7 linked regions of the Mus musculus genome follow. The protein of the gene in region 6 interacts with the protein of the main gene of each other region in a pairwise test. Links are inferred from orthologs where the notes say so. Each region holds a gene or a part of one and is shown on either strand. Other genes may lie near its edges.

Region 1 (4,340 bases), on a different chromosome or scaffold from region 6:
TTGAACTCAGGACACATCTGCCTGCCTCTGCCAGTGCTTGGAGTAAAGCTGTCCACCACCGTGCCTGGCCATATCAACTCTAATACCAGGCTGACAAGAAGGCTCACAGAGTGAGGGTGCATGCTTGCTCCAACCTGAAGACCCAAGTTCAATCCCCAGGAAGAATGTAAAGGTGGAGAGAGCCTGAGTGCTGCTAGCGCTGTGTTCCGAGGGTGTACACAGTGAGACTAGAGGTGGGGTGGGGACAGCTGTTCTCCCAGGCGAAGGCAGATGTACAAGATGCCAACTAAAGCCCCAGCAGTAGGCCTGGGACCTGAGCCCATGCATTCCAGGTCAGTTCTGCCTAACTCATAATCCCAAGCTCTCAGCCTCACCTTGGTTCCGATATTCAAAGAGACGAGGATCAGCGAGGATGGGGATGAGCCCCAGGCGGTGAGCAAGGATCTCATCCTGGACTATGGACGTGTTGTTATACACCAAGACCTTCTCCACGGCCATTGTCGGCACCTGCCCAAGGAGGCAAAGCAGACAACTGACCTCCACCCATCCCCCTGCCTGGAAAAGGAAGAGGCAGCACTTTTTCATTTTGCCCTTCAGATTCTTTTTTTTTTTTTTGGTTTTTTGAGACAGGGTTTCTCTGTATAGCCCTGGCTGGCCTGGAACTCAGAGATCCACCTGCCTCTGCCTCCCGAGTGCTGGGGTGCTGGGACTAAAGGCGTGTGGCTCAGATTCTTGATACAATGTTTACTATGTAGCCCAGACTGTCATAGGTGTGAACCACCCTACCTGCCCCAGAGGGATGGCTTTGAGAAAAGCGTCTACAAATTGATACAATTTCTACCCTCCAGCCCACGTCCTCTAATACCTCAGCTAACAGGATTCTCCGGAAAGCATTGGCGATGGCAGCATCAATCCCCACCATGTCGAACTCCAGCGTGTCTTCATCCATTTGCACCACGTCCACACGGAAATTCTAGAAGGAGGGAAGCTCCTGCATGACTCCTGCCTGGCTCCTACCCTGCACTATCCCCTCACCCTAAAGTCATGGTGCTCAGTAGACATTTTGTCTCCAGTCCTGTTCTTGGGGGCAAGGCTGTGTGTTTCTTGTTTTTTAGGTTTTTCCAAGGCCAGGTTTCTCCATGTAGTCCTGGCTGTCCTGGAACTCTGTAGACCAGGCTGGCCTCAAACTCAAAAGATCCACCTACCTCTGCCTACCAAGTACTGGGATTAAAGGTGTGCGCCACTATGCCCAATCTTCCCAGATTTTCCACAAACCACCCAGAGAAGTTACTATACAAAAAGCAGAACTTCCCACACTACTTAGACCGTTTGATACTTGCATGTCTGTTGTCGTTATTTTTTAATACCTACTTTTCTCAACTACATTCCCTTGGATTTTGAACACCAATTTCCTTATCTGCTCTTCTTTCTAAATTTCCCCTTCCACCCACACAGTAAACGTTCCTGTCTCCTAGGTTCTAATCCCCTGGCTGACCTCCACCATGCTCCTGGCTCAAGCAAGCACATAGACTTCACAAGCAGGCACCTGAGTGTACCCTCATTCTTGTTCTCCTGCTTGGCAAACGACACAGCCAGCAACAGTTCCCCAGTGCCACTGGAGAAATGGCTCAGCTATTAAGAGCACTTAACTGCCCTTGCAGAAGAACTGGGTTTGGTTCCCAGCACCTGGTGGGACCTAACATTCTCCTCACACTGCAGGGATCACTAACACACAGTGGTGCACAAATACACATGCAGGCAAACACGCATATCAAGAAAGTTTTAGGGTCCTCAAGTTACAAAGTCCTTTCTCTCACACACTGCCTCCCCAGAGCACTGGTGCAAATCGTCTAGTTCTCCCTGCCTTACTCCGTTAGTACTGTCTGGAGTTCATCTATGCCCCCAATTTCAGCCTGCATACACTAGCTGGCAGATTCACCAGAATTCATTCCCTCCTGGCTATCAAGATTGCAAAATGTTATCAGTCTACTCAAAAATTCTAAATTGGGCGTGGTGGCTCATGCCTTTAATCCCAGTGCATGGGAGGCAGAGACAGAAGCAGGTAGATGGCTGAGTTCAAGTCCAGCCTGGACTATAGAGAGAGTGCCAGGGCTAAACAGAAACAGTTTCAAAGTGAATTTTAAAAAAATCATATATAATGAAGCTCCAATCAGGCCTTCACTACTCAACTTTTATTCATAGTTCAAAGCTTAATTCAAATGCCATTCCCTTCACTGACCTTTAACTACGTCCCTTCAGTTAGCTGGATTCAGTGCATCAATGATTCCTGACCATATCCCAGCCATCTTCACCGCTATCTTACTATTCTGGAATAACTTGTCTGTGTGGTCCATTATCCCACCGAGAGCAACCACCGTGTCTGACCCGTCCATGGAGCTCAAGCGTGTTGTATGGAAACAGCGACCCCCACCCCAACCTGCGAGGTCTGGCCCCTCGGGCCGACTGGGCACCTTCAGCTCTACCCACCTTCTCGAAGCGGTTCTGGTCCCAGGCATCATCATAACCGGCGTAGTTACCGGGAAAGTCCGTGGTGTGGACCTAGAGCCAACAGAAAGGGCAGTGTGGCCAGCCTTCACACCAGGCCTCTACTTCCCCGTGCCGCCCTCATCCTTCCCGCGCCCCGATCTCTTACATTGCGAACCCCAAACTCTCCGAGAACCACGCGAGTCCGCATCTCCTCCACCGCCTGAGCCGCCGCCATCTTCCGCCACTCGCTGTAAAAGGAGGCGAGTCCGCGCCTGCGTCTCCGCAGCAACGCTCGGGCTCCCGCAATCTTGAATGTCGCGAGATCTTGCCCCGCCTCTGTCCACGTCCTTCACTTCCGGACGTCAAGTGGGGCCAAACATCCGGGTTTCTCCCTTCGGCGTCCCGGCGGATCCCCACCTTGCCCGGGCGGTCGCCCCTCTGAACCTCTCCCTCCCTCGGACCCGGGTCGCACGCTCTTCCCACGCGCGCGTGCTCCAGCGACGGGAAGCCTCGAGGGACATGGCGACTCCGGCGGCGCCGGCCAGCGGCGTCCGAAATGGTGCTGGCCCGGAATGGGGAGGCTTCGAAGAAAACATCCAGGTATGGAGCGCGCCTGCTGCCAGCAGCCCCGGGCTGGCGGCGTCCGGACGGTGGCTGCTGTTCTCTCTCGCGGGGCCTAGAGGTCGGCTCCGCTGAAACGCAGCCTGTCCCCTTTGAGTCTTCCCGGGGAAGGGTGTAGCTCTTGTGCTGGCGTGAAAGGGACAAACTAGGGCTCCCGCGGGCCTCGGCTCTCTGTGGGGGCTGGAGGCTAGGATCCACTGGCACCCCCTAAAAATAGGCTTGTTTGAGAATTGGGAATGGCAGATGGGCTCTTTTGCAACTCTTTGGAGCTTTGAGGTGGAAAGTAGGAAAACAACGTGGATTGAAAATAAATAGTAGGGTTTCCAGGACCACAAAAGTGACGCGACCAAGAGTTGCCACCACTGAAAGAGTGGCAGTTCCAAGCCATGTCCTCGGCAGTGGAAGATCAAAGCCTCAAGTTGTCAGCTGAGCGGAGAACGGGGAGGATGCAATGGAAGGGCCCCTCACTCTCCGAGCCGTTGTCTTCACAGGGTGGGGGTTCGGCTGTGATTGATATGGAGAACATGGACGATACCTCAGGCTCCAGCTTCGAGGACATGGGTGAGCTGCACCAGCGCCTGCGGGAGGAAGAAGTAGATGCTGATGCAGCTGCTGCAGAAGAAGAGGATGGGGAGTTTCTTGGCATGAAAGGCTTTAAAGGACAACTGAGCCGGCAGGTAGCAGATCAGGTAAGCCAATGGGGAAAAAAAAAAGGACCTATGCATGTCCTAAATTGATCGAGGTTTTCCACTTAGACCCACACGTAAATCTCGCCGAGACTGAATAACAATCTAGAGCCAAGAGTCTCATCATACCCATTTCCCTTCAGATGTGGCAGGCAGGGAAGAGACAGGCTTCCAGGGCCTTCAGCTTGTATGCCAACATTGACATCCTCAGACCCTACTTTGATGTGGAGCCTGCCCAGGTCCGAAGCAGGTGAGGCGCCTTCTCTGAGACATCTGTCCTCACATCTAGACCCTCATCCAGACTTCACTCAGACTCAGAGCCCTGAGCTCTGGTGGACTCCCCTACTTGCAACCCCATTACTGAACTGAACATGTTGTGAATACTTGGTGAAAGGTACAGTTGGCTAGGTACCCCTCAAGTGCGCTAACCCCTCTTCCCTCCTACCCCGCTTCCCTCCACACCACCATCCTTTAAATGGCAGGCACTCACTTTGTTCTCGTCCCTCCCTCACCTGGACTCCTAGACAGTTCTCTCCTCTTCAGGGT
Region 2 (3,557 bases), on a different chromosome or scaffold from region 6:
CACAGCAGTCTGTTAGATCCAGAGGTTTTACCCATAACCTCTTCCACTTTACATCCTGCCACCTTCTACTTGATCATATGTATCCTGTTTCCTTCTCATTTCCTCCTCAGGGCACCCACTGCTTTACCCAGAGAGCCTGAGGGCCTGCCTTCCTTGATGGAAGCCCCCCAAGACACTTTCCCATATCTGAGAAGCACTTTTTGACCTTTGCCTATGGACCTCTCCCCTTGCTTCATTTCTCTTGACTGAAGTTCCTACAGCTTGGCTCAGTATCTCTATCGGTCTGTTCCTTGTCCCCACAATCCTAGATTGAGACCGTAATGTAGCACCTGTACACGTGAGATGCTTAGGAGATTTCTGTAAAGTAAAAGCTGTAGAATCCCAGGTTAGACACACTCTATCAATAATGAGCTTCCTTTTTGCTTTGCAGTGGGAAGCCTAGAGCCCCGGATTGAGGTCCTGATTAACCGTATTAATGAGGTTCAGCAAGGTGAGCTCAGTGATTGGCTGCCATCCAGGACCAGCTACAAGTTTTAACTGGCCAGGCCCAATAAAAAGTGGAAATACAGGGGTCCTTGTTAAAGTCTCTGTAGTTATTTCATGAGAGCATAAGTGCAGGGCCCTTCTGCCTGTAACCGCCATAGTCATTTGCCTGTGAACACAGCCCTGCTGCCACCCGAGCCTAGCAAGAAGGGCCAGGATTTAGAAAGCCTTGTTTCCTGCTTTGTAAAATCTGGGCCCCCTCTAAGTTTTCTTTGGGGGGAGAGTGTGAAATCTCCTCATTTGTCCTTGAGGCTGTACTTACCAAATGTCTGTCCTCCTCTTTGGTAAAGCAAAAAAGAAAGCCAGTGAGGAGCTTGGAGAGGCCCAGACTGTCTGGGACAACCTGCAGAAGGAACTGGACTTACGTAAGTTAACTGAGAGTCACTAGAGGTTTCTATGATGTCTTAGACTTCTAATGCAGTCCTGCAAACACCCGGGCCATGACTTCTCCTCCAACCTCATTTCTTCTAGCAGTCCCATCTTCTAACAGGAGGGCTGTGGAAATGCCTTTGAGGCCTGTTCTGCCCTGAGTCCTTTGCAGAGATGATCCTCCATGTATTGCCCTAGATAATACAAGTTATTGCCTCACACCAGCAGCTGTATATTATTAGAAATGTCTTTCTTAGTCATCTTGCATTACCTGATCACATAGCCCTTTTGATTGGTGTTGTTTTTCCTGGTCCCAGTGGTTGTTGTACATGGACATGGATATCTTTTGTGAAAATTAGGGCACATTGTGTTTACAGGAATGTGGATACCCGTAGGGGTAGGAACTTACCTCAAGGAAACTGCATCTGGGTTAGGGTCACAGTTATACTTGCCTCTCGTATGACTGCCCTTGACGTTTCTGTGTTTGGTCTCTAATGCCTGAACCTTCATCATCTTTTCTAGTACGTGAAGAGAAAGTACGTCTGAAGGATATTTTGAACAGAAAGGAAGGTATTCCCATATTACCCATTTCTAGGCTTTGTGATACCCTATCTAAGCCCACTCTCTCTAGTAGCTAGAAACTTAAGAACTCCCAACCTTGTGACATTCCTATGGCTTTTACCAGACCCAGAAAATGTCAAAATCCAATCAAGTGTCCACAGACTTGATGTGATATGTTTTTTTCTATTTGCCAAATTAGATGCCTTAGCAAGCACTCAGAGGGCACTGTTGTTATCCTTACAGAGACCCTGAGGATTATGCAGCTGCACTGCCAGGAGAAGGAAAGTGAGGCACAGAGGTAAGATGCCATGCCTGCAGTGGTTTCCCTAAGTGTTCCTGTTACCTCCCACACCATCTGCTCTGCTAGACACAGGCTTGAATACAGAGGAACAGAATAGAAGCCCCCAGCCCTCCCTCCAGGAGAGTCATTCAAAGAACATGGCTGAGTGTTGGTTTCTTTCCCAGGAAGCACAGCATGTTGCAGGAGTGTAAAGAGAGAATTTCTTTCCTGAACTCCCAGATCGACAAAGAGAAGGCCAAACTAAGAAAACTGAGGTAAACCTCAAGGTGTGAGGCTTGGGCTGGGGACGTGATATAGGTATAGTAATGCCCGGGATGGCCAGCCATAGTCCTGGATGGTCAAGGGGTGAAGCTATTCCTTGTGTAAGAGTGGACACGAAGTCCTTGGGTGCTATATAGACTCAGACCTTGGCCTAGCTCTGTGGTAGTTCATGGCCATCATGGCTCTGTGGTTGCCTCCTAGGTTGGATTTTGAAGAACATCTGGAGACTTTGATGAGTCAACATAAGGACACCTTGGAATTTCATGTGAGTCATACAACACTATGCTACCTATTATACTTTGTCCCTGTGCAAGCATTGGTTGGTGGTCCTGCTGTCATCGTAAATCCAGTCCCTGGTGACCACTCTTGAGATACTTGGTGTCTTCAGTATTGGTCCTTACCATTCACTCATGTTGCTGTGTCCATTCAGTGTTCTCTATGTCAGTGAGGAGGCCAGGAGGAGAGAAGAGAGGAAGAAACGCTAATACCTAAGTCTTCAGAGTGTCTCAGGATTGTAGGATTGCAGATTTTAGGGTTTCGAATACTTGCCCTAGAACCTCATTACAGGGTTAAAGGTCCGAGGAGAGGGAATGACGAGATCCATAAACCATAGCTGGCACACACCAAGGGGCAGGGTCCTCGGAAGTGAAACTTACTGAGAGGAGAAATGATGAGATGTAGACAGGCTTCTCTGAAGCTCAGGGGAGCCAGGAGATCTGGACATATCTTCTTGTTTGTGCCCCCCCACCCCAGAAGCCTGAACATCTGACAAAGGAGATGTGTGTTTTGGACAGCAGCAAGGAGCAGCTGCTCAAGGAAGGTGAGGTCAGGGCCAGAAGGGTGGCTCTCAGCTGCACCAACCTGCCCTTACCTTCTTATTACTCTTTCTCTCTGTAGAGAAACTGATGAAAGTAAAGCTGGAGGATGTGAGACAGCGGCTGTGTGCCCTGGGCGGGCCTGAGGGTTCTTCCAGCCTCATTGAGGGACTCTTCCTCCGAAGCCATGAGGCAGCTGCAGCAATGTAAGATGCAGGGTGGGGCAGGAGGAGGAAATGTCTAGCACTGACTTCTTTCCACACTATCAGGCAGATGTTCAAGGATGAGAACAAGAAAGCTGAGGAGTTCCTAGAGGCTGCAGCTCAGCAGCACGAGCAGCTGCAGCAGAGGTGCCACCAGCTACAGCAGAAACGGCAGAGGTAGGCACGGAGCTCCTGTGTCCTCATTTCTCCCAGGAAGGTGAATGGCAGCTGTTTCCCCTGTTCTGCCGGTATGTCTCTTCATATTTTCTTGATTTTTCTGCTTTCATTCTCGTCCTTCACGCTTCCCGGACAGGCTGAAGGAAGAACTGGAAAAGCATGGGGTACAGATCCTTGCTCATAGTACGCAAAACGAAGAAGACAGCTCATGGAGGATGGTAAATCCGGGAACAGAAGGGAAAGGAAAAAAGTGGTATTCTCCAGAGTATAGTCTGTGGAAAGGGCATTCCTCTGAGGAGGCACAGCTGAGGCAGAGGTGTAAACTCA
Region 3 (3,557 bases), on a different chromosome or scaffold from region 6:
AGGCAACCAATCCAGGAGAGCCGCATCAGCCCAGAAGCCTGCAGGTCAACCCGGCTCCAGACTCTGCTACATTTCAAATAAAGAGGCCTTAGGTGGGTCGTGACCTTGGAACTATCAACATTCTGGCTCAGTCTTCTTGGCTGGGGCTCTCCTGTGCATGGAGGATGGTCAATGGTGTCTTTGGTGTCTACATACTAAGTATCAGTGGTACCCAGCACCCACTATGACGACCCAAACTGTCTCTAGATGTTGCTGGTGTCCCACTTGAGCATCAGTGGTCTTTAGTACTCTCATGAGAGAGTCTACTAGCTTTTTGTCAGGCCCAGCAGTGATGGGCTCGGGGTGGGAGGCCTTCTGCAGGAAAAGGGACAGCCTAGGAGACAACGCCACACCTGTCCCAGGTGTTCTCGAGGCTCTGACCTCCTGGAGGCTCAAAGCAAGCCTTTGTCACTTCTCCACACCCTCCTGCTTGCCCGGCACCCTGTGCCCAGCCCCCTTCCACCTGGTGCCCTAACTCTCGGAGCTGATTACTGGGCTCCCAGTCAAGATTCTGTCCTGGCATTGTCCTTCTGAGCCATGTGTTCCTGGGGCAACCACGTGCTGCTTTCTTGGTGACTCCCTGGAACCTGCAGAGGGGGCACGACCCACCCTGACCCGCACAACACTGTAGAGTCAGCGGGTATCCTCAGGGTTGCCTCTTCTGAGTTTAAAAGGAGCCATTTCTCTCTTGACCTGGGTGACATTCCACCCAGAAGGAAGGATTCTATGAAGATCCAAGGTAGTCTATATTCTGGGATGGGGAGGTAACCCAGGACACACATAACCCCACAGCTAGGTGTTGTGAGGTCACTTCCTGTCTTGCTAGGCAGCTCCTGGGGCGCAGCCTGGTCTGCACTAACACCATCTGAGCCAGGATGCAGTAGAGACCAGAAGCATGGCTGTGGGGCAGCAGAGAGCAGGGCAATGCACTCCTGGAGTAGTAACCTTGCTCAGAGCACTGAGCTCAACCTGGCTATGGGCCGTCTGAGCACCTCAGGAAGAGACGCTGGCTGGACGGACTTCGCTCTACCAACATCAAGGCCCCTGGGAGCAGTCTCCATGAGCAGACCTTAAGATCGCCTGACCCTTGTTTAGGTGTGCCTGCGCTGGCTCTTATTTCCTAAACAGAGCCTGACTTCAGAGTGGGACAGGGCCACTGGGGACACAGCACAGTCCAATATACATGATGAAGGGAGGGGCCTGGTGGTCAGACAGACCCGCCACACTCCACTTAAGCACCTGTTTAAGAACTTCGCCACGTTTGCATCCGTCTCTCCCATCTGGACAAGAGGCACCACACTGTGAAGAGAAAACGCACAGTCAGGTTACAGAGCAAGGCTCCACACATAGGAGCCTGGGACATGTATTGCCACCACTTGACTTCACTATTCAACCGAGTCCTGGCAAGCACAAACCAGACACAGCGTACCCACCACTGCCTCAGCCAGCCCCTTAGCTTGGGGACACGCAACGTGGCCTGGCCAGTGAAGGGGGACGCACAGCAGGCAAGGTGAGGGTAGGCTGCCCAGTCTGCTGGCCTTTGTGCCACCAAAGCCTGGCCCGGGCTCCTTTGTGGGCAGGGCTCGAAGAAGGGCTTTCGTCTAGCCCTTAATCCCCAAGGAGCTACTTGTTCTAAGTTGTAATTCTAATTACCCGAGGTCCCGCACCTGACTGCGCACATACAATTTGTCCCATCCCACCTCCTGATCCCAGCTGATCCTCCCCTGAGCTAGCCTGGGGGTGTGTGTTGGGTTTGGCCATCGGCCCAGGAAGGCTTGCGTCTCTAGTCCTGCTCGCCCCACACCTCCCACTTGGCTTCTTCACCTAGATGTCCTCCTGCCTGGAGAGCTTTCTGGCATGTCACTATGCAGCCGGGGCCTGTCAGCTGCACTGAAGGTGCGACACCAGCTCAGACTCGTGCTCTGATGGTATAAGCCCGGTTGATGCGGGTGACTTTATGCAAATGGCCATTTTCTCTGGAGGCCCAAGCATTTTGGTTTTGGTTTGATTTGTTTTGTTGTTTGTCACCCAGGAAATGCTGGGAAATGTCCAGGTTCAGCAGTCTTCTGTGAAGGGAAAAGGCTTGCGATCTGAGTCTGCGGACCCCCAGAATCTCACTGGCCTGCTCCTGACCCCTGCAGACTGGAGGTGCTGTGAGGAACCCCTGAGATGTGGACAGAGTTTCTCTGGTGTCCCCCAACCGCTGGGCTCCCTGTAGTCCTTTCTGCTGGTTTCTAGCAGGGTCCTTTCATGGTGTTCTCCTCAGCCCCACATCCTAGGGAGCCTATGGCTCTCAGAGCAGAAAAAAGCTCTGCTTGGCCTCTGAGCAGTGTGAGTCACTCATTACAGTGCCCTCCAGGACAGTACTCAGGACACGTACAATGAAGAGGCGGTGGCTCAGATACGACAAGGGTTCTGCATTGTCCTCTGGGGCCCTTACCGTCTCTCGGCACGACGGCATACAGCGCGGCAGAAGTGCAGGGCAGAGCTGCTCTTGCCTCCAGACTGAAAGAGAGAGTGGGTGTTGGCCACTGTTGCTCTATGCTGGAATACCTCTGAGCGGCCGGGGTGCAGGGGGTGACTCTGTTGCTACAGTTGGGTCTACTGGCAAGCCCGTGTTTCCATCAAAGCAACTACCCCGCCACACCAAGTTGAGCACCCCAATACCTACAGGCAGAATGAAGGCCTTGAGCGGGGGGAGCTGGCTGGAGTACTTGTCAATCCACCGCTCCAGCTCCAGGACAGGCCCTTCCTGGAAGGCCGTGTGCTCTAAGGAGTCAAGGGCAGAGAGGCCCTACTGTAAGCATGCCACCAGACCACTGGGAAACACCCCTTCCTTCTGTGTGGGAGCCCTGCTTCCACCAGCCTCCAGGATAACATCTCTCCCAAGGCAGAGAGCAAGGATGTCTGCCCTACCAGAGAGCTCTAGGGCCCAGGGCTCCCAGTGGGCAACTCTCAGGGCCACCCTCACCCCAAGGCCCCACTAACTCCCTGTGCAGGCTGGGAATTACTTAAGTGAGCCTCCCTGGCTGAGGAACGTGGAGTGGCCAGGGCGGAGCCGACGTCCTGTAGCATGCACTGGATCTGGAGCAAGGGTGAGGAGAAAGACCGTTTGTGGACCGTGTCGGGGCCGTTGGACCATGAATCCAACTGCCCTAACTCTAAACACGACGAAACCTCCTGGAGTTTAATTCACTGGACCAAACATACCAGTGCCGCCTAAATGGTGAAGGATAGCCCATGGGACGGTGGTCAGCGGGACAGGAGGACTCAGGGAGGACACCTGTCCATTCCTGGGACCCACGTAGGCCCCAACCAGACTACAGTGAAGCTTGGGTGACCTCGGCCTCCCACTGCATCCTAGAGTGACTCTGCTAGCAGATGCCCCTCAGAACTCAATGGCAGCGCTAACAGGTAGAGGTCCACCTTGCTGAGACTCGAAGGCAGCAGGGCTCCTGAGCACACAGCTCTTCAGCCTGAGCCCTGGGTTGTCCTCTGCAACCCAAGAGGCTGTCCCA
Region 4 (4,312 bases), on a different chromosome or scaffold from region 6:
GAGGCAAAGCAGGCAGTGAAGCAGAGGAAGTGGCAGGCATGTACGTCTCATAGTACCTATAGTCTGTAGCCTCCGCGGTGAGTGAAGGCCAGGGAGGATGGGGCAGGATATTCTTCACCCAGCCATTATCTGGCTAGTTTTAAAATATTAAGGCTGTCTGGTGTTTTCCATCCATGGCAACTAAGGTGGGCAGAAAACAGGCACAGCTGGGGGAGCCTTTGGTGGCTTGGTGGAGCGATCTGCAAGAGGTTGAGGGAGCTCGGACTGACCTCTTGAGAAAGAGCATTCGTGTTACTAAAACTACATACAACAAGCTAGGAGAAAAGGAGAGCTGTGGCTCTGGTAAATGATAGGGCCAAATGGCCAAAGTGCTGCCCTGAATTTGTATTTATGACCACAAGCTGTCACCAGTGCTGGGTAGGCTCCGACCATCAGTGTCTTTCAGCCATTTTTTTTTTTTTTTTTTTTTTTTTTTTTTTTTTTTTTTTTTTTTTTTTTTTTTTGGTTTTTCGAGACAGGGTTTCTCTGTCTAGCTCTGGCTGTCCTGGAACTCACTTTGTAGACCAGGCTGGCCTCGAACTCAGAAATCCTCCTGCCTCTGCCTCCCGAGTGCTGGGATTAAAGGCGTGCGCCACCACGCCCGGCGTTAGCCATTTTTACTCCTGTAAGTAATCCCAATAAACTGATTGGTTCTCCAATTTGTTCTTAGCTTGTTGTGCTTTCGTTTGTCACTGGTTCCCTATGTGAGGCAAGGAGATATCTCTTCACATCTCCCTGGCAATGGTGTCACACAACAGCAGCTTGTTCCCACAGGCTCGCACTCAAGTCAGCTTCTCACACAACCCAAGCCCACAAGGCATCACCAGTTCACAATCAATAAACAATCAAGACAGTTCCTCTAATGTGAGCAGTCCTTCAATTGAGACCTCAAATTAAACTAACAAGACAAAGCATTTGCTGCTCTTTCCCGAAAGGGACCTGACTTTAGTTCCCAGCACCCATTACCAGGTGTCTCACAACCCCTCTAACTCTAGCTCCAGGGGATCGATGCCCTCTTCTATATTTGCAGGCAGGTGTGCATATGTGGGGTATACACACAGAGACATATGTACGGGGGGGGGGGGTCTGAGGTATAGCTCACTAGCTAAGGAGCTGTTTGGTACAAAGCAAGCCCTAGGCTCTGTTACCAGAACCTGCCCCCCACCCCCCCAAAAAAAGTAAAATTTGAAACCAACAAAAGAATACGTTACCAAGAACACCTTTCCAAGGTTGCTCCTGCTGACACTGGAGCCAGGGAGCTCCTGGTTTCTATTTGCTTCTTTTTCTCTAGAAGATTCCATCAAGCTTCTAAGCAGTAGCATTTCCTCCTCCTCGTCACTGGCAGATTCTTTCTTTGTGGGCAGCAGAGCTTGCTTCCCTGTCCCCACTGCCAGCCCTGGGGACCTCGCTTCAGTGGGCAGCTCCTTCTTCTTCAGAAACCTGCTACCGTTACCACTCGGCCCATCGCTCTTTGACACACATGTTTTGTTCACTTGTTTCTGGAAAGTTCTGTGTGGGTACTGGGAAGAAACAGAAGCTGCACCTGTCCTCTTAGGAAGACTCTGCTCGATGGATGTGGAGTCAGACTCCACATCAGACCAAGCCATGGGCACCTGCTTCCGATTCAGGATCTTGGTTTCAATCTGGGCCAGTTTCCTAAGGGCCTCACTGGCTCTGGTCTTGGAGGAGATGGTGGGAGGCCTCAAGCCCAGACTCACCCCCCTCCCTGCCATGGCCTCCTCTTTGGGCATCAAATATTTCTCGTCCATCGTTTGGTTTCTCTTTAAGATTCTGCTCTGCCCAGGTGTCACTTGGCCAAGACTTCGGGCTTGTAAGTTTCTGATCTCTTCCATCCTCGAGCTATCTAAGAACATATCCCTTAAGTCAAAACCACTACGTGGAGGGCCAAAGGGTCTTCTTGTGGAAGCCATTCTAGGAAAATAAAGATTGTGTTTTCAGCCTTTAAAAGTACTTCACTGTATAAGTATACTTTTTGTTTTGTTTTTATTTTTTTCAAGATAAGGTTTCCCTGTATAGCTCTGGTTTTCCTGGGAGCTCCTTAGATCAGGCCTGCCTCCCAAGTGCTGTGATCAAAGGTGTATGCCACCACCACCCAGATAAAAGTATTTCTTTTAATAAGCTGTAGGGCGTGTGGGACAGGCATAAGAACTGGTAAGGTTGAGTGAGCTCAAAACCAAAGAATCGGGGCTGGTGAGATGGCTCAGTGGTTAAGAGCGCCGACTGCTCTTCTGAAGGTCCCGAGTTCAAATCCCAGCAACCACATGGTGGCTCACAACCATCCATAACGAAATCTGATGCCCTCTTCTGGAGTGTCTGAAAGACAGCTACAGTGTACTTACATATAATAAATAAATAAATCTAAAAAAAAAAAAAAAAAAAAAAAACCAAAGAATCTCAGAGAGATTTGAGGACAGGCGTCCAGATTCGTACCTATATCTGTACCTGCTCTGGAACCTGTAACCAGGATACACAACTGAGAGGACCCATATCACACAGCACCTGGAGTTCTTCTCCATGCTAATAACACTGCCTATACTCAGTTTCCTCGCTATTGTTTGCAAGCCCTAAGGGATCATGCCCCATCGCTCTCCAGATGAGGAACCTCTGGTGTGGGTATGCCGCCCGTTTTCCTGAAGCCCCTTGCCAACCCACTTGATCACTGTGAGGTCACCTGAGTAGCTGCGTTGGCTTCTTCCCGCTAGGCTTCAGCCTCAAAGTATAGGCCCCAGTGTGCGGTTGCCTCAGGAGACAGCGCCAGAGCAACTAGAGACTACATTTCCCGTCGGCCACCGCGCTCCACCCACCAATGAGCAACTCAGGTCACAATCCCGGGCGTCACGGGACCAGTAATTTCAGCGCACCCATTAGCGTCCCCAGGTCATAATCCCAAGGCATGCCGGGAGTTGTAGTTTCTGAGTTGCGCCCGTCAAGCGGTACGGACGCCTGAGAGCAGAGAGTTGAAGTCGCACGTGCAGCTATGGTCTCGGCTCGTGCATTGCTCTGGGCCATCTGTGTGCTGCGCGTGGCACTAGCCACTGTGTACTTCCAGGAGGAGTTTCTAGACGGAGGTGAAGGCGATTGCCGTGGTGGCTGGTGGCCTGTGTCCACCATCTATGATATGGACCCGTGCGCTTTGCACCACTAACCCTCCTGTCTCCCCACAGAGCGCTGGAGGAACCGCTGGGTGCAGTCCACCAATGACTCCCAGTTTGGGCACTTCAGAGTCTCATCGGGGAAGTTCTATGGGCATAAAGAGAAAGACAAAGGTTAGTGTAGAATCGGGAGCAAATAGAGTAGAGTTAGAAACCTCATGGCACCCTGACAACGCACCCACCGTTCAAGCCAGGACACTGAGGCACATGCAGGCTCTGCAATACCCTGTTTGGGTTTACATTCCTTTACGATTGACCAGAGTAGCCGGGCGGTGGTGGCGTACGCCTTTAATCCCAGCACTCAGGAGGCAGAAGCAGGTGGATTTCTGAGTTCGAAGCCAGCCTGGTCTACAGAGTGAGTTACAGGACAGCCAGGGCTACACAGAAACCCTGTCTTGGAAAAAGAAAAAAAAAAAAAAATTGACCGAAGTGTGTTTTGGTTTAGTCTTTGAGCAGTCTCATGTAGCCCTAGATGGCTCTAACTCTCAGCCTCCCAAGTGCTGGTTACTTTTTCCACATCTATGTATGTTGGAGGCAGTATGCACCTTGAGTGTGGATTGGAATGACAGTGGAGGTGCTCAGAAAGTGCTGGAATGACAACTGGAGTCAACAGGAATGACTGTGTTGGCATTTTTCAGTAGTTGCCCAAGATCATCTCACTTCATGAAAATTGGAACCATGCTGTAGCACAACCTAGAATCCTAGCACTCCAGGGTCTTCATGAGGCAGGAAAATCACAAGTTCAAGACCAGCCTAGCTATAGAGTGAGCTCTGGCCCACCCTAAGATACAGCCAGGTCTTGGCACAAAACAAAAAGAGGGGAAATCAAAATGAAAAGTGGGGCCAGCTAGATTGGCCTGTGGCCAAGCTTGGTAACCTGAGTTTGATCCCCAGAACCTACAGGGTGGAAGGAGAGAACCTATGCCCACAAGTTGTTCTCTAACCTTGGCACATGCCCCAACCCCACAAAATGAACGAATAAATAAATAATTAAATTGTATTTTCTTTAGGTTTTTAGTTTTGTTTGTTTTGAGCCAGGGTCTCTATGTATCTCTGAATGTCTAGAAACTCTTAAATCCACCTGCCCCTTCCTCTGCCTC
Region 5 (3,994 bases), on a different chromosome or scaffold from region 6:
ATAGAGGAGCCTATACCTTGTTTTTGTTTCAAGACTGTGTAGCCCTGGGTGTTCGTGCACTCAGACATCCGCCTGCTTCTGCTTTCCTAAGTGCTGGGACTGAATGTATGTGCCACCTGTCCCCTAGGGGTCCACATTTAAATATGTGGAGCGGCTCATAGTTTTTACTTTCAACTTTAGATGTTCACATGTATTTGCTCTTGCAGAAGACCTGGGTTTTGTTGCCAGCACCCATACGGTGCCTCACAACCATTTGTAACTCCAGTTCTGGGGGATCCGAAGCCCTCTTCTGACTGTCTCAGGCACCAGACACACACACCGTGTACATAAACACATGCAGGCAAAACACTCACACACAGAAAATAAGTACATCTTAAAAAACAAAAAAGGGCTGATCGCCAGGCCGTGGTGGCGCCGCCTTTAATCCCAGCACTCGGGAGGCAGAGGCAGGCAGATTTCTGAGTTTGAGGCCAGCCTGGTCTACAGAGTGAGGTCCTGGACAGCCAGGGCTACACAGAGAAACACTGTTTCAAACAAACAAACAAAACAAAACAAACAAACAAAACAAAAAAATAGGGGTTGCTCAAAAAGAATGAAAGGAGACATTAAGGTAAAAAAGGGGAGAATGGAGATGGGGTTAGGGAAGAGCAGGTAGCTGACATGCACTGAAAAACAATTTAAATGAAAGAGAGGAAGCAAGAGCACCAGAGGATGCAGGGTTCAGTTCCCAGGACCAGCAGGGTGGCTGGCTGTAATTCCAGTCTCAAGGAACCTAGCGCCTTCTTCTGGCTTCCATAGGCACTGCATGCATGAGGAACAACACAGGCACTCATAAACATAACAATAAAAATCTCAAAAAAAAAAAAAATTAAGAGGGAGAAAAAAGCCAGGAAGGAAAATTAAGTCATTATTCATGAGTTGCTTCCGATGACATTAAAATGGAAGTTCTCTCAGTACCCACAGTAAGTATTATGAGTCCTTTCTAATCCCACAATCTGAAAGGGCCAGGAACCATTACAGGTCCAGCTAATTTAATGCTAAAAAGGCAAAGACAACAGTTTCCAGTTACCTAACCCTCTTGACATCATTTTAGTTACTATCCAAGAATCTGGGGCAACTAGGAAGCCCAAGTGCACAATACAGCCCAGGAGAAGGAAACCTCTGGGATTAGAGCCAAGTAGGCATGCTTGCTGCCTGCCAATGGATCTTTTTATTCATTCATTTACTTTTGAGACAGAATCTTTAGTCCAGGCCGGCTTCCATCCTTCTAAGTAGGTAGGCCACTGCTTGGGTTTATGTGGTACTGGGTAATGGTCAGGGCTTCATGTATGTTAGGCAAGCACTGAGCTACATCCCCAACTTTTTTAAAATTTTCTATTTAACAAACAGGGTAACCACCTTCCGATCCTCCCGCATCAGACTCCCATAGCACTTCCTTCCGCTTCTAAAAGGTGGGTCTTTAAATATTTCCAAAGGTCATTCGCAGGTACAAGGCCATCACTTTCTGGGGCCTTTCTAACAGGGGCGTCCCCTTACCTCGCTTGAACTCCTCCAGGACAGCGTCCAGTTTGGTATCGTTGAAGACAAAGTGGAGTGGATGGTTGTAGAAGCGGGTGATGGTGCTGAGCGGTGTGCAGTCCTCGGGCTCAACGATAGCCAAGTCTTTGAGGTAGAGCATGTCCACGATGTTGGAGCGCTCCTCCTCGTACACTGGGATGCGCGTGTGGCCGCTCTGCATGATGCTGGCGAGGACGCTGAAGTCTAGGACAGTGCCGGAGTCCAGCATAAAGCAGTCTTCGAGCGGCGTGAGCACGTCCTCCACGGTCCGGGAGCGCAGCACTCCCTTGCTGAGGTCGCTGTAGGGGTCGCCGCCGCCGCGCGCCAGCTCCAGCACGCGCTCCCGCAGACGCCCCGGCCGCGCTGCCAGCTCCAGCAGCTGCCCGACCGGCAGCGCCACGGGCAAGGTGAGCAGCACCGCCAGGCGGCTGAGGCCCAACGCGCGCGGCGCCAGCGCCAGCGCCCAGCGTCCGCTCACGGCGGCCGGCAGCACCTCACCCACCAGGAACACCAGCCCCGCGCAACCCAGCACGGCGGGCACGGCGCGCTGGCCCGCCGCCCCGTACAGCAGCACGGCCAGTGCCGCCTGCGCCAGGCTGGCCAGAAGCAGCAGCGCGCCCAGGGCGCAGCCGGCCCAGCGCCGCGCGGGTTCCAGGCGCCGCGCCGCCGCGCGCTCCGCCTCCGAGCCGCTCTCGCGCAGCACCTGCACCTCGGCCGGCGCCAGCGCCAGCGCGCTCAGCTGCAGGCCGCGCGCCACCGCCGCCAGGGCCAGCAGCCCGGCCGCCCCCAGCCCCAGCGCCCAGGGCGGCGCCGCCTCCTCCGCGGCCCCACCACCCGGCTCCACGCGCACCGCCAGCAGCGCGGAGCGCGGGTGGCCGGCCTCGGCGCGCAGGCGCAGCAGCGCGCGCCACTCGCCCGTCGGGGCGGCCGCCTCCTCGGGCTCCGTGGCCCGTCCGCCCTCCGGGCAGCCTGCGCCCTCGGCGGCTACCCAGGTCCAGGAGCTGTTGGCCAAGCCGGAGCAGAAGAGTCGCAAGCACAAAGTGGCCTCTGGCGCTGCCCTTCCGCGCAGGGAGCCCGCGCCCGGTGCGCTGTCCTCTTCCGTGCAGAAGTTCAGCAGTCCCGCGCCCGGCGCCGGCGCCGCCTCCCCTGCGGTGCTGCCCAGACAGAACGCGGCAAGCACCCAGCCCAACCAACCCACCACAGCCGCAGCAGCCGCCGCCATGGCCTGCTACCCCTTCTGGGCCTCGGGCGCAGCCTACCCCACTCACCCGCGCCTCTGTTGTTGCAGCCAATCGGCGCGGGCCTCCGCGTCACTTTGACCAATAAGCGGCTGGCGGGGGCGGGCTCTGGGGAGAACTAGGCTGCGCCGGGGAGTAAACAAGCGGCGCGGGGCGGGGCGAGCCGGAGGGGCGTGGGGCTCCGCAGGCAAGGGAGGACGCGGGGCGGCTGTCTGGGACGGCCTCGGAGTTCCCGGCGCGTGTGGACGAGCAAAGGAAGGTCATTAACCCTCTGGCCAGCAAGGCTAAGGGCTGAATAAGAACCAGGGACTGGGCACAGGGAAACCTGGAGTCGTTTGTTTAAAACATTTTCTTATCATTTGTATTTGTATGTGGGTTTGCGCTTGCGAGGGCAGTGCTTTGGGCAGACGCAAGAGGGCGTCGAATTCCCCCTGGAGCTGGAGTTCCAAGCTAATGGGAAGCTGTGCTGGGAACTGAACTCTGGTCCTCAGCACACATTCTTAACCTCACCCAGCTCTATTGGTTTGTTTTAAAGCTAAAGTCTCTTAGCTTTGCGTTGGGCTCTGTGGATATCAAGACAGACACCTGCTTTTGAGGAAGATGCCTTGATAGGAAGGTCCATAGTAAATACTCAAACCCAGAAAAATCTGTTTCCTTGAATCTTCACACTTGTTTCATGTAATTAAGCTTACAATAAAACGATGTTTAGAGACTGATTCTGTGTGCCTTTGGTTTCTGACATGCACCTGACATTCGGGTCATTCAGCCATGCAGGGAGATAGCAGCTGTCAGGAATTTCCATACATGCTAGCTTCACAACCACAGTTTATTCTGATTCCTCGGGTTGAGAAAGCTGTTTGAGAGGGTTCTTTTTGTCCTTATTTTGGAAGACACCTGCATGATCAGATGGAGCATTCTTCGTTCATTGTATGTGGTCTTTATGGGATTAGCTTCTCTATGGGTATCCCTGTTTTTTGCATTTTTCTCTCTACTTTCTCCCTAAATGTACTAAGACATGTACACATCTTATACATATGTTTTGTTTTGTTTTGTGTCTGTGTGGGCCCAAGTGTATGTATGTGTGTTGTGTATGCAGGTGCCGAAGGAGGCTAGAAGAGGGCACTACATCCCCTGGAACTAGAGTTGACATTTGTGAGCCACCATGTTGGTTCTGGGAACCAGGCCTTCTGCAAGAGTGG
Region 6 (4,355 bases):
GACTTGAGATTGGTCCCTCAGGTGAAAGCCATACTACAGGGCTGAACCCCTAACTTCTGGGACCTGCACAGTAATGCCATGTAGCTAGTGTCAGAGTGGAACTGAACTGAAGAGCCCCACAGTAGCAGCCAAACCCTCCCCAGGTCTGAAAAGTTACTGTTTCTCCCTTCCCAAGTAATGCAGTTGAAGTAGATGACAGCTCTGGAGGGAGGCTGGGGTGGGAGGGGTAGGGGTAGGGGTGGGGGTCAGGGTCGGGGTTCAAACCAGCCTGGCAGTGAGGCGTGAGCAGCAGCCAGGGGGTGACCAAATAAGTGTGACTGTTGGGGCCATTGTGTGTCACACTGACTCTGGCTAGCCACGTGGGCACAGCCAGCAGCAACCAATCCTTCCTGCTTACAGAAGACTGCTTCTCACCTGAGCTGCTTAGAGAAAAACCATGAGCTCTGAAAACCACCATATTGTTCTGTGATGTCACCTCTGGAATGTTCTGAGTGTTTTGGTGACCAGCTTTTGCATAAGACCTATACCTGGCATCTCACATTGGTATGGCTACTTTCTTGACATAGAAATAATAGTTTAAAGCCAGGAAGACCTGCAGCCCTCTCTGTTTCAGAGACTTTAAGTGGGGTTTTTATGTTAGTTAATTCCTCTATTGACTTCTGTTTCGGTGATCAGTAAGATTTCTTTCTGGTCAGGTACCATTCACACACACCTTTACATGGAGATTATTATAAGGTATATAATTAATTTGTAAGGAGGCATAAGTGTAGTAGTTATGTATTTTAGGTGAGCCACTGAGGCTCCGAGGCTGGGTGGAGAAGGAGAAATCTATTTTTTTTTCTTTTTCACAGCACTCGAGGCCAAATTTTACAAGAAAGAGAGATACCAGATCTGAGAGCCTAGAAATTCCAGTCAATGTGATTCTACCTCAGGTAGGGACAGTCACAGAAGGATGTAACTTACCAGTTCTAGCTACAATAACCCTGTTTCCAGACCTTATAGAGTGAACAAGGAAGTCAGCTGATCCAGTTCTTGTCACGTTGGGTTTTCCCTGGTTGTGTGGAGGAAGGATACATGGTCTCTCTGGACCTTAGGAGCCTCTGGCTTTCAATGAGGTAGGCTGGGTTAGATGATCAATCCACCCCCCCTTCAGTGCTAGGCTTTCAAGGTTTGATGATACTGTAAGAAAAACTCTAACTTTATCAAAGGAGACCCTTCATTATGTGCTGGTGTATAACTACTCTGGATATCTGTGGAGATCTAGAGTTGAGCTTGAACTAGAATTGAAATCTTGAAGAGCTGACACCCCAGCACGTGTCCCATTTACAGCTGCCTAAGGAATTAAGCCCTGCTATGGACTGAAGATAGGTACTAAGGGATGGACATTCAGTTGTTCTTTTAGAGACCAGTGAGTGGTTAAACCCCTTGCAGCTTGCATGCAACAATTTCTTTGGTGGGATGCCTTTGTTGATTTGACTGTTTCTTCTGCTGCTATGTCACAAAGGGGTGGCCTTGCTTTCTCCAGAGCCCCCCCCCCCCAAAGAGCTCACTGGAAGACCAGGGTCATGCAGCCAGAGGGGGTGAAATGTAGGATGGAGGGACCCAAGGCACAGGTAACTTATCTAAAATTTTATCCAGGGAGGTGTGTACAAAAGAGGGTGGTTCTCTCATTGGAGTTCTGTATGAGTGTAACTGTAACAAGCTCAGCAAACATAGTCAGGCAAGGAAAACAGCCTGGATACATGTTTTCCTTACAGCACACAGTGAGCAGCCACTTTCCTGTCTCCTTTAGCTCAGGAAAGCTGAGCCAGAATACTAGGGAACTATGTTCTGACCATCTTCTGGAAGAACAAAGGACCTTGCTAGGTCTGATTCTTAATATGTAAAACTGTGTGTGAGAATGGGTATGGTTCTTCTGGTTCTTTACCAGCCCAGATATTAGGGGCAGATGGGAGATGATAGCCTAGATGTGGGAGTGGGGAAGAGGTTGGGAATAGGATCTGAAAGTAGTTGTAATCTCCCTGTGTGGCCACATACCCGGCAAGAAGTAAGTTAAGAGAAGGAATGATTATTTTGGCCCTTGGTTCAGGGGATGAGTCTATGATGAATGGGAATCTATGGTGGGGCCAGTGCCTCACATCATGGCAGATCAACTTGTTTTATTCAGTCCAGGATCTGCCCCACTCCCACCCCCTTTTGATAAAGTCCACACAGATCTATACGAGGGTATGTGTTGTTAATGCCCTAGGTGTTTCTTAATCCAATGAAGCTGACACAAAGTTCTCATTATTGTCATAGGGTGGAAAGATTAGAAAGCTCCATCCATCTACCCTTGGCACAGATTTCCATCCCCAGCTCTCAGAATCAGCTTAGCAGTGGAGGAGAAAGGTGATTTGAGGAGACTTGGGTTGGTTCTGGTCCCTCTGACCTCCAGCCCCACTTCCTGGGCTTTAGGACCTGGTGCAGCTTCTTGGATTTTGGATGGTAAAAGATGTGGGATGAAGGGGTCACTGCTGACTGGAGATTTGTTTCTCATGACCAGATGTGGCCTTGAGGATGCCAGCCAGGTGTAGTCAACAGTCTTCAATAGGTCCAACTAAGCAGTCGACTGATGTTGAAAAGCAGGAAGAGATTTACTCAGTGCTGCAACACTTGAAGGAGGAACAAAGAGGTCTAATGATTCGTTCCCCAGGTCCGTCTTGGACATGAAGTTTGGGTTTCAATAGAGGGCCAGAGGTACTCATCACAAAGTAGCCTTGGTTGGGGTGTGGTCCAGCCCAGCATCACTATCTCAGCCGCAGGCTCTCCTGCAGCATGGTCTGACAAGTTATAAGGGCTGTGTGAAATCCTTTTCTGAGAGACAATCTTCCCCTCGCTCTTGATGGCATTGGCCTTCAGCCTTTACCTTCTCCAAACATAAGACTATTGGAGAAATATCTTGGGATCTATTGTTTCAATAATCTGATAGATAGAAGGAAAGACATAAGTATCATTTTTGGAATATATTCATGACCACCAGGATGGTTACAGGCCCACCTGCAATGGGGACACAAGCCAGGCAACCTGCCAGGATACTCTCGACTGGTCCTCCTGGGTTAGGAAGTAGTCATGGATAACTAGATGATGTAACCTGACTTACCTCCCAGGCCTGTGAGGAAGACCTCTCTGCTCACTCTACCTTCCCAAACAAGATAGTTGGGGGGGGTGAGGGGGGAGGACTCCTATGAGCAACAAGGTGAGGGAGGATATTGATGGAGTGCTCTTGGCATCATGTGGTGGCCACAGGGCCACACAAGTGTAAGGCAGAGATTTCACAGCTGTGGGAATTGGGAGGTTCTATAGTGAGGACAGAACTTCAATTTAATCCAGGTCAGTGCCCAGCCTATCATCCTGTTTACTGGGGTCAGGTGATGTCTTAGCTCTAATTGTTCTCTTGCTTCTAGAAGATAGTGTCTCCCCTTCCCTCCCCTGGATTGCTAACCCTCAAGCTTTGCGCCCCATGAGGCTTCGTTCTGAGTTGAGCTCATTCTATTTGGAAGAGAATTATAACAGTACCTCTGGCTCCCAGCTTCCAGCCCTGGTGGGTGGCTGGCATTCTCAATTACACCGTAAACGTTATGATTCACTAGTTGTCACCCTTAGGTTTTCTCGGATCTTATTGATTCCCCACTTTTTCCCTCCTCACACTGAACACGAGTGTTTTCACATCTATTTTCCTCTAGCACACCGACTTGCAAATGACAGTGTTATTTCCTGTCTGAGAAACTGATCTCCCAACTCCTCTCCCAGCTCCTCCTCTATAGAGACTCTCTCCCCTGTGAGCAATCTGTGAGTTTCATTAAGTCATCATTATTGCTAGGTCATCAATGAAAGATCTACATCTTGGTCACAATGACCTCTGATAATACTTCCTGGTGCCCACTCTATTTCCCCTTGCCTTTTTCCTCCTTCCCTTTTGTCAATGCCAACGGGAATAGTGCAAGGGCAAGATTTTAGCTTCTATCAAACGATGAGTTGACTTCATCTGACATTTTTTAGTCTCTTTGCTATTGGCATTAAAATCCTATCAAAACCAATCACATTTACCTTGTGGATTATCTTTTCATCTGTTAGCATTTATTAAAACAAACATTGTATTTAAGCATACCACTAGAGAGGTGAGTTATTTGTTTATTTTTTAATTGACAGTGGAACTCAGCTGTGAAGTTAGCACTGTGGTTTCTCCGTCTAGGACCCCGGTGCCCTTCAGTTTCATGTGCATTAAAAGTACCTCAGCTGGCTGAACATTCCCTTCCAGTCAACCCTCAATAGTGTTGGCAAAGCAGGTGCTTTAAAAGCTTGGTCAACCAGCTTGG
Region 7 (4,279 bases), on a different chromosome or scaffold from region 6:
TTTTTGTTGTTTTTCAAGACAGCCCTGGCTGTCTTGGAACTCACTCTGTAGACCTCCAAGTCAGAAATCCGCTGGCCTCGGCCTCTGCCTCCCAAGTGCTAAGATTAAAGGCATACGCCACCACTGGCTGGCCTGCAAAAGCACTTTAATGGTGCCATTTTCTTTCAGATCTACCTTTTTTTTAAAAGCTGTGTTAATAGATATCTGCAAATTTAGAATACTGTCAGCCGAAACTTTCCTATTCTATGTACACACTGATGTCCTTCATATCCATTATTTACTATTTCATGTTCCTAAAACCATCCCACTTACAGGGCTTCAGTCTGTCAATAGGTCTTGTTTACACCAAGTCCCATCACAGAACTAGTTGCATGTGGCTGGCAGAAAGTCACTATTCTCTCATTCAGATGGCTATGGATCCCTCCCCACATCTAGCTTTTCAGAACCAACCAGTATCCATCATCAGTTCCGTTGGAAAAGGCAAGCTCAACCGTTTTGAAACAGGAGGCAGGGAAGGTAAGGTGATAGGTGCTTCGCAGAGGGGAACAAGGAAGGGGTGGTAACAACTGCGTCAGAAACAGGTTCTGTGGAAGGTGTGCCGCATAACGTGGAAAGTACTGGAACCTTAGGGTGGGGACAGGGGCGCTAGCTGGGGTTCTAAGTAAAGTGTTATGCTGCAGGTGGCTGAGAGTTCACTGAAAAAGCATCCAAAGTGGCCAAAAACCTGAGGCCGATCAGGAGGTTGGCAGGGCTGAGCTGGGAGGGTGTGGTCCTTGTAGGCTCTCGCCCCCTCTAATCTGCCGCTAAGCTAGCTGCAGAACCGCTAGACAAGCTACCACATCTCACTCACTGGTCTGAGTGACAGACACTTCCTATGTCTAGTGTCTTACTGGTCAGTCGAGAAAAAAGAGGGTGGGACAAATAAGTATTCTCCTTCTGATTGGTCAACCCGCTGGTTCTTGTCAATTAGAGATGAACTGGGTTCTCCGCCATGTTGAATAGCGCGCTGCAAAGCCTGTTCTTTTCTTGGGATGGTCACCCAACACCCGGTCCTTCCTGTCCCTCTGTGCCCTAATATGTTGATCCAGCTAGTTAAAACGCGCTTTCTGCTTTAAGTCCGTATACCGCGAGAAGTTCTCGTTTAGGTAGTTAGACAGAAATAAAGCTAGAAACCAGAGAAAAGCTCAGTCCCTTGCCGGAGACCTGGGTGTCATTCAAGTGAATCAGTAATTGTTCCGGCGCTGGTGAGACTCCCATTGAGCAATTAGCTTGAAGATTGCGTTTTACTTTAGCTTGCTGTGGTAGTCGTTTGTGTAGCTTCAGACAGTTATGCTTCTAGAAACCGCAGGCTTGTATCAGAAACCATCATTAGACACTAGCTGGACTCGGGGTTCGCATTTGTGACAGTGAAAAAGGACGTTGCGTGCGTTATGGTCCGTCGCCACCTCCTGTAGCGTCCCTAGTAACCGAGCCCCTAGTAACCGCTCGCCCCAAGCCAGGATCTGTGAGCTAGGTGGCAGCGCCTGCACGCCGCCCTGGGCGGGCGCGGGCGCTTGGGCTTGGAGGCGGGGCGATGGCTTCGCCGCACCAGGAGGCCAGACTGGCGGCAGCCAGCCTTCTCCTGTCTGCAAATCCCATCACCGGAGCAAGGGTCGCCCAGTACGAAAGCGAAGACTCCTTAGAGTCCTTGGTAGCAGCGGGGTTGGCGGCGGCCATGGAGGAGGAGGAACAGAAGAAAGTGTGGCAGATGCGGGCGTCGGTAATGTGAGAGCCCGGAGGGGTCTGAGGGCTGTCCGATCGTCTCGGGCAGGACGGGTGGAAATGCGGTGTCCTCTGTAGACCCTCCCTGCTCTCTGCCCCAACTAAAGGTTGCTGCAAAACTTTATTGGAGAGTGGTTTTTTTATAGCTATTTCTAGAGTATGCAAAGAACAGAACTCTACTTCCTATTTATTCTCCAGTATATCTTGGGAATAAATAATTTTTTAGTTCTGATTTTTACATTTATTTTTGCCCCCCCCCCCCCCGAAGACAACTGATGTGCCCATAGTTTTCATAAAAGATCAACTTTCAGATGATAAGTTGTACTGACAAGTGTGTTTTATCAGTTTTTGTTAGGAGTGGATTTTAGCAGTCCATTAGCAAACCGTGTTTGAAGTTCAGTGGACAGATGCTCCAGATGTAGAGAAGCATCCAGATAAACAAACCGCCGAAATCCCAGTTCCCTAAAGGGATGATATGGGTGCAGTGAGATCTTTTCACAAAACATTTTCAGTATTATGTCCTGGATGTGTTATATGTTTCTAGCAGAAGGATATATATGGAGGAGGAGATTATACACACACACACATAATCTCTACCTCTGGAAAAGCAACCAGTACTTATAACCACTAAGCCATCTCTCCAGCAATGCTTTTATTCTTTAAAAATTTCATACAGTATATTTTGAATGTAACCACCCCCTCTCCTTCATCTGTTCTATTCATTTTGTGTGTTTGTTTTTAGATTTATGTGTATGAATGTGTGCCTTGGGAGTTACTGAGAGTTGTGAGCTACCATATGGATGCTGGGAATCAAGCCCAGGTCCCCTGCAAGAGCAGCAAGTGCTCTTAACAGTTAAAACATCTTAGCATCCTTTTAAATTTTTGTTTGTTTTCTGAGACATAGCCTGGCTGTTCTGGAACTCACTCTGTGTAGTCCAGGCTGGCCTCAAACACACAGAGCTCTGCCTACCTCTGCTTCCTGAGTTTAAAGGTGTGTAATAAAAACGCCCAGCTTTTATTCACTTTAAAAGCCGGGAACCTTGGACTTAAACCAGCACTCTGCTGGGATAAAGCACCAGGACGGGCACTCGCTCCCTCGACACCCTGTTCCTTAGCAGTGCTGGGGTGGGCCGAAGGGTTTGTGCTTGCTAGGCAAGTGGTGTACCAACAGCTACATCCTCGGCTTTTTTGTTTTATTTTAGACAGTGACTCCTTTGGTCCAGGATTGCCTCAAATTTGCTATTTGTGGCTAAGGATGACCTTAAACTCCTGATCCTCCTGCCTCCACCTTCCAAGTAATGGGATTAAGCGTATGGGGCCCCAGGCCTGGCCTGTAGCAAATGTTTCAAGGTTATGTAGAGTGAAGCAGAGCCTAACCAGCTATGAGGTTCAGAACCCTAGGACTGGTTTATACCTGATAATCATTCAACACAGCCTGTCATAGGTTACAGAAGGTGAAATGCCAGGGAAGGCAAGAGCTTGGACCCGGGTCAGAAGCCGTTTTCTTCTATGTGCTGGGTGATCTTAGGCCGTGATTTCTGTTTCTTTGTCTATAAAAGGACTATAATTGTCTCCGTTTTCCACCTTATTCAGTTGTTATTAAGAACCAAAGGAGAGAATGGGTGTCATTTCTAGAGTAATTTACATAAATTAGTAGTAATTGTAACAACTGCCAGCTTGAACAATTCACTTGGAAATTGATTTATACTTTGGCTTACTACGGCAGAAAGGTCTGTCCTTTGTATAGTTGTACTTATGTTCCAGAGTGCCCTGCTAACTGAAGATTTTTGTTATAAACTGAGTTTGGGTTTCCAACACCCAAATACAAACCCAGTGTGTTGGCTTTTGTCTATAATCCCAGTGCTGGAGAGAGAAGAAACAGGCAGATTCCTGGAATTTGCTGAAAGCCCTACCTCAAAAAATAAAGTGGACAGTGGCTAGGGAATTCAGCTAAGATTGGATGTTAGCCTGGAACCCCTGCTTATCCCCTGCACAAGCTGGGGAACTACATCTGCCCTCCTGCCAACCCCACCCACCTAAAGAAATCTCCACTGTCTGCTTGGAGAATACTCAAGCTAACATGTCAGCGCTCCTTGTCTCTGAGTTTCAGACAGCCTGCCCAAGAGTGCCCATTTGGGGGCTCAGTTTTTGACCATGCATGGACACAATCCCAGCTCCTAGCTAGCATGGCAGCACTCCCAACCTAAACTCTACAAGATCCCCTTGCTTTGGCCTGGATCTCTCACACCTGTGAGATCAGTGAGCCCACCTGAGAGCAGCCTCCTAATAAACCTGCCTTTATCTACTTCTAATCTGGTCTAATCTGGTCTGTATCTGTGTCACTGAGGGGACAAAAAGCCTGTCACTGACCTCTGGTGTACACACACACACACACATTCTCTCTCTCTCTCTCTCTCTCTCTCTCTCTCGCACACACACACACACACACATACACATTCTCTCTCTCACACACACATTCTCTCTCTCTCACACACACACACATTCTCTCTCTCACACA

Evidence for each region.
Region 1: the proteins of Cby2 (region 6) and Polr1c interact in binary tests that used the Homo sapiens proteins (3 or more experiments, as listed by UniProt). The two-hybrid records come from large-scale screens. The link is inferred for Mus musculus from reciprocal best matches to the Homo sapiens genes CBY2 and POLR1C.
Region 2: the proteins of Cby2 (region 6) and Syce1 interact in binary tests that used the Homo sapiens proteins (3 or more experiments, as listed by UniProt). The two-hybrid records come from large-scale screens. The link is inferred for Mus musculus from reciprocal best matches to the Homo sapiens genes CBY2 and SYCE1.
Region 3: the proteins of Cby2 (region 6) and Mmab interact in binary tests that used the Homo sapiens proteins (3 or more experiments, as listed by UniProt). The two-hybrid records come from large-scale screens. The link is inferred for Mus musculus from reciprocal best matches to the Homo sapiens genes CBY2 and MMAB.
Region 4: the proteins of Cby2 (region 6) and 1700030K09Rik interact in binary tests that used the Homo sapiens proteins (3 or more experiments, as listed by UniProt). The two-hybrid records come from large-scale screens. The link is inferred for Mus musculus from reciprocal best matches to the Homo sapiens genes CBY2 and C19orf44.
Region 5: the proteins of Cby2 (region 6) and Cnnm3 interact in binary tests that used the Homo sapiens proteins (3 or more experiments, as listed by UniProt). The two-hybrid records come from large-scale screens. The link is inferred for Mus musculus from reciprocal best matches to the Homo sapiens genes CBY2 and CNNM3.
Region 7: the proteins of Cby2 (region 6) and Fam161a interact in binary tests that used the Homo sapiens proteins (3 or more experiments, as listed by UniProt). The two-hybrid records come from large-scale screens. The link is inferred for Mus musculus from reciprocal best matches to the Homo sapiens genes CBY2 and FAM161A.

What each region holds. Positions count from the first base shown.
Region 1 is NC_000083.6:46,245,242-46,249,581, forward strand, and holds the start of Polr1c (DNA-directed RNA polymerases I and III subunit RPAC1), read right to left. Parts: upstream 2,805-4,340; 5' UTR 2,723-2,804; coding exon 2,654-2,722; intron 2,560-2,653; coding exon 2,488-2,559; intron 974-2,487; coding exon 866-973; intron 508-865; coding exon 375-507; intron 1-374. Other genes in the region: protein YIPF3, read left to right, coding at 3,007-3,087, 3,600-3,797, 3,938-4,044. UniProt on the Homo sapiens protein: DNA-dependent RNA polymerase catalyzes the transcription of DNA into RNA using the four ribonucleoside triphosphates as substrates.
Region 2 is NC_000073.6:140,777,808-140,781,364, reverse strand, and holds part of Syce1 (synaptonemal complex central element protein 1), read left to right. Parts: intron 1-430; coding exon 431-490; intron 491-833; coding exon 834-908; intron 909-1,434; coding exon 1,435-1,482; intron 1,483-1,716; coding exon 1,717-1,771; intron 1,772-1,938; coding exon 1,939-2,028; intron 2,029-2,236; coding exon 2,237-2,300; intron 2,301-2,788; coding exon 2,789-2,855; intron 2,856-2,932; coding exon 2,933-3,056; intron 3,057-3,119; coding exon 3,120-3,230; intron 3,231-3,366; coding exon 3,367-3,448; intron 3,449-3,557. UniProt on the Homo sapiens protein: Major component of the transverse central element of synaptonemal complexes (SCS), formed between homologous chromosomes during meiotic prophase. Requires SYCP1 in order to be incorporated into the central element.
Region 3 is NC_000071.6:114,434,000-114,437,556, forward strand, and holds part of Mmab (corrinoid adenosyltransferase isoform 1 precursor), read right to left. Parts: intron 3,124-3,557; coding exon 3,051-3,123; intron 2,809-3,050; coding exon 2,711-2,808; intron 2,545-2,710; coding exon 2,480-2,544; intron 1,339-2,479; coding exon 1,279-1,338; intron 1-1,278. UniProt on the Homo sapiens protein: Converts cob(I)alamin to adenosylcobalamin (adenosylcob(III)alamin), a coenzyme for methylmalonyl-CoA mutase, therefore participates in the final step of the vitamin B12 conversion.
Region 4 is NC_000074.6:72,442,409-72,446,720, reverse strand, and holds the start of 1700030K09Rik (uncharacterized protein C19orf44 homolog), read right to left. Parts: upstream 2,842-4,312; 5' UTR 2,732-2,841; intron 2,719-2,731; exon of another isoform or gene 2,577-2,718; coding exon of another isoform or gene 2,491-2,576; intron 1,972-2,490; coding exon of another isoform or gene 1,971-1,971; coding exon 1,251-1,970; intron 1-1,250. Other genes in the region: Calr3 (calreticulin-3 isoform 1 precursor), read left to right, coding at 3,038-3,128, 3,225-3,326.
Region 5 is NC_000067.6:36,510,696-36,514,689, reverse strand, and holds the start of Cnnm3 (metal transporter CNNM3 isoform 1 precursor), read right to left. Parts: upstream 2,824-3,994; 5' UTR 2,780-2,823; coding exon 1,537-2,779; intron 1-1,536. UniProt on the Homo sapiens protein: Probable metal transporter.
Region 6 is NC_000080.6:75,589,173-75,593,527, reverse strand, and holds the start of Cby2 (protein chibby homolog 2), read left to right. Parts: upstream 1-1,542; 5' UTR 1,543-1,565; coding exon 1,566-1,613; intron 1,614-2,298; exon of another isoform or gene 2,299-2,388; intron 2,389-2,542; exon of another isoform or gene 2,543-2,736; intron 2,737-4,355.
Region 7 is NC_000077.6:23,006,868-23,011,146, forward strand, and holds the start of Fam161a (protein FAM161A), read left to right. Parts: upstream 1-1,479; 5' UTR 1,480-1,573; coding exon of another isoform or gene 1,574-1,759; exon of another isoform or gene 1,760-1,764; intron 1,765-4,279. UniProt on the Homo sapiens protein: Involved in ciliogenesis.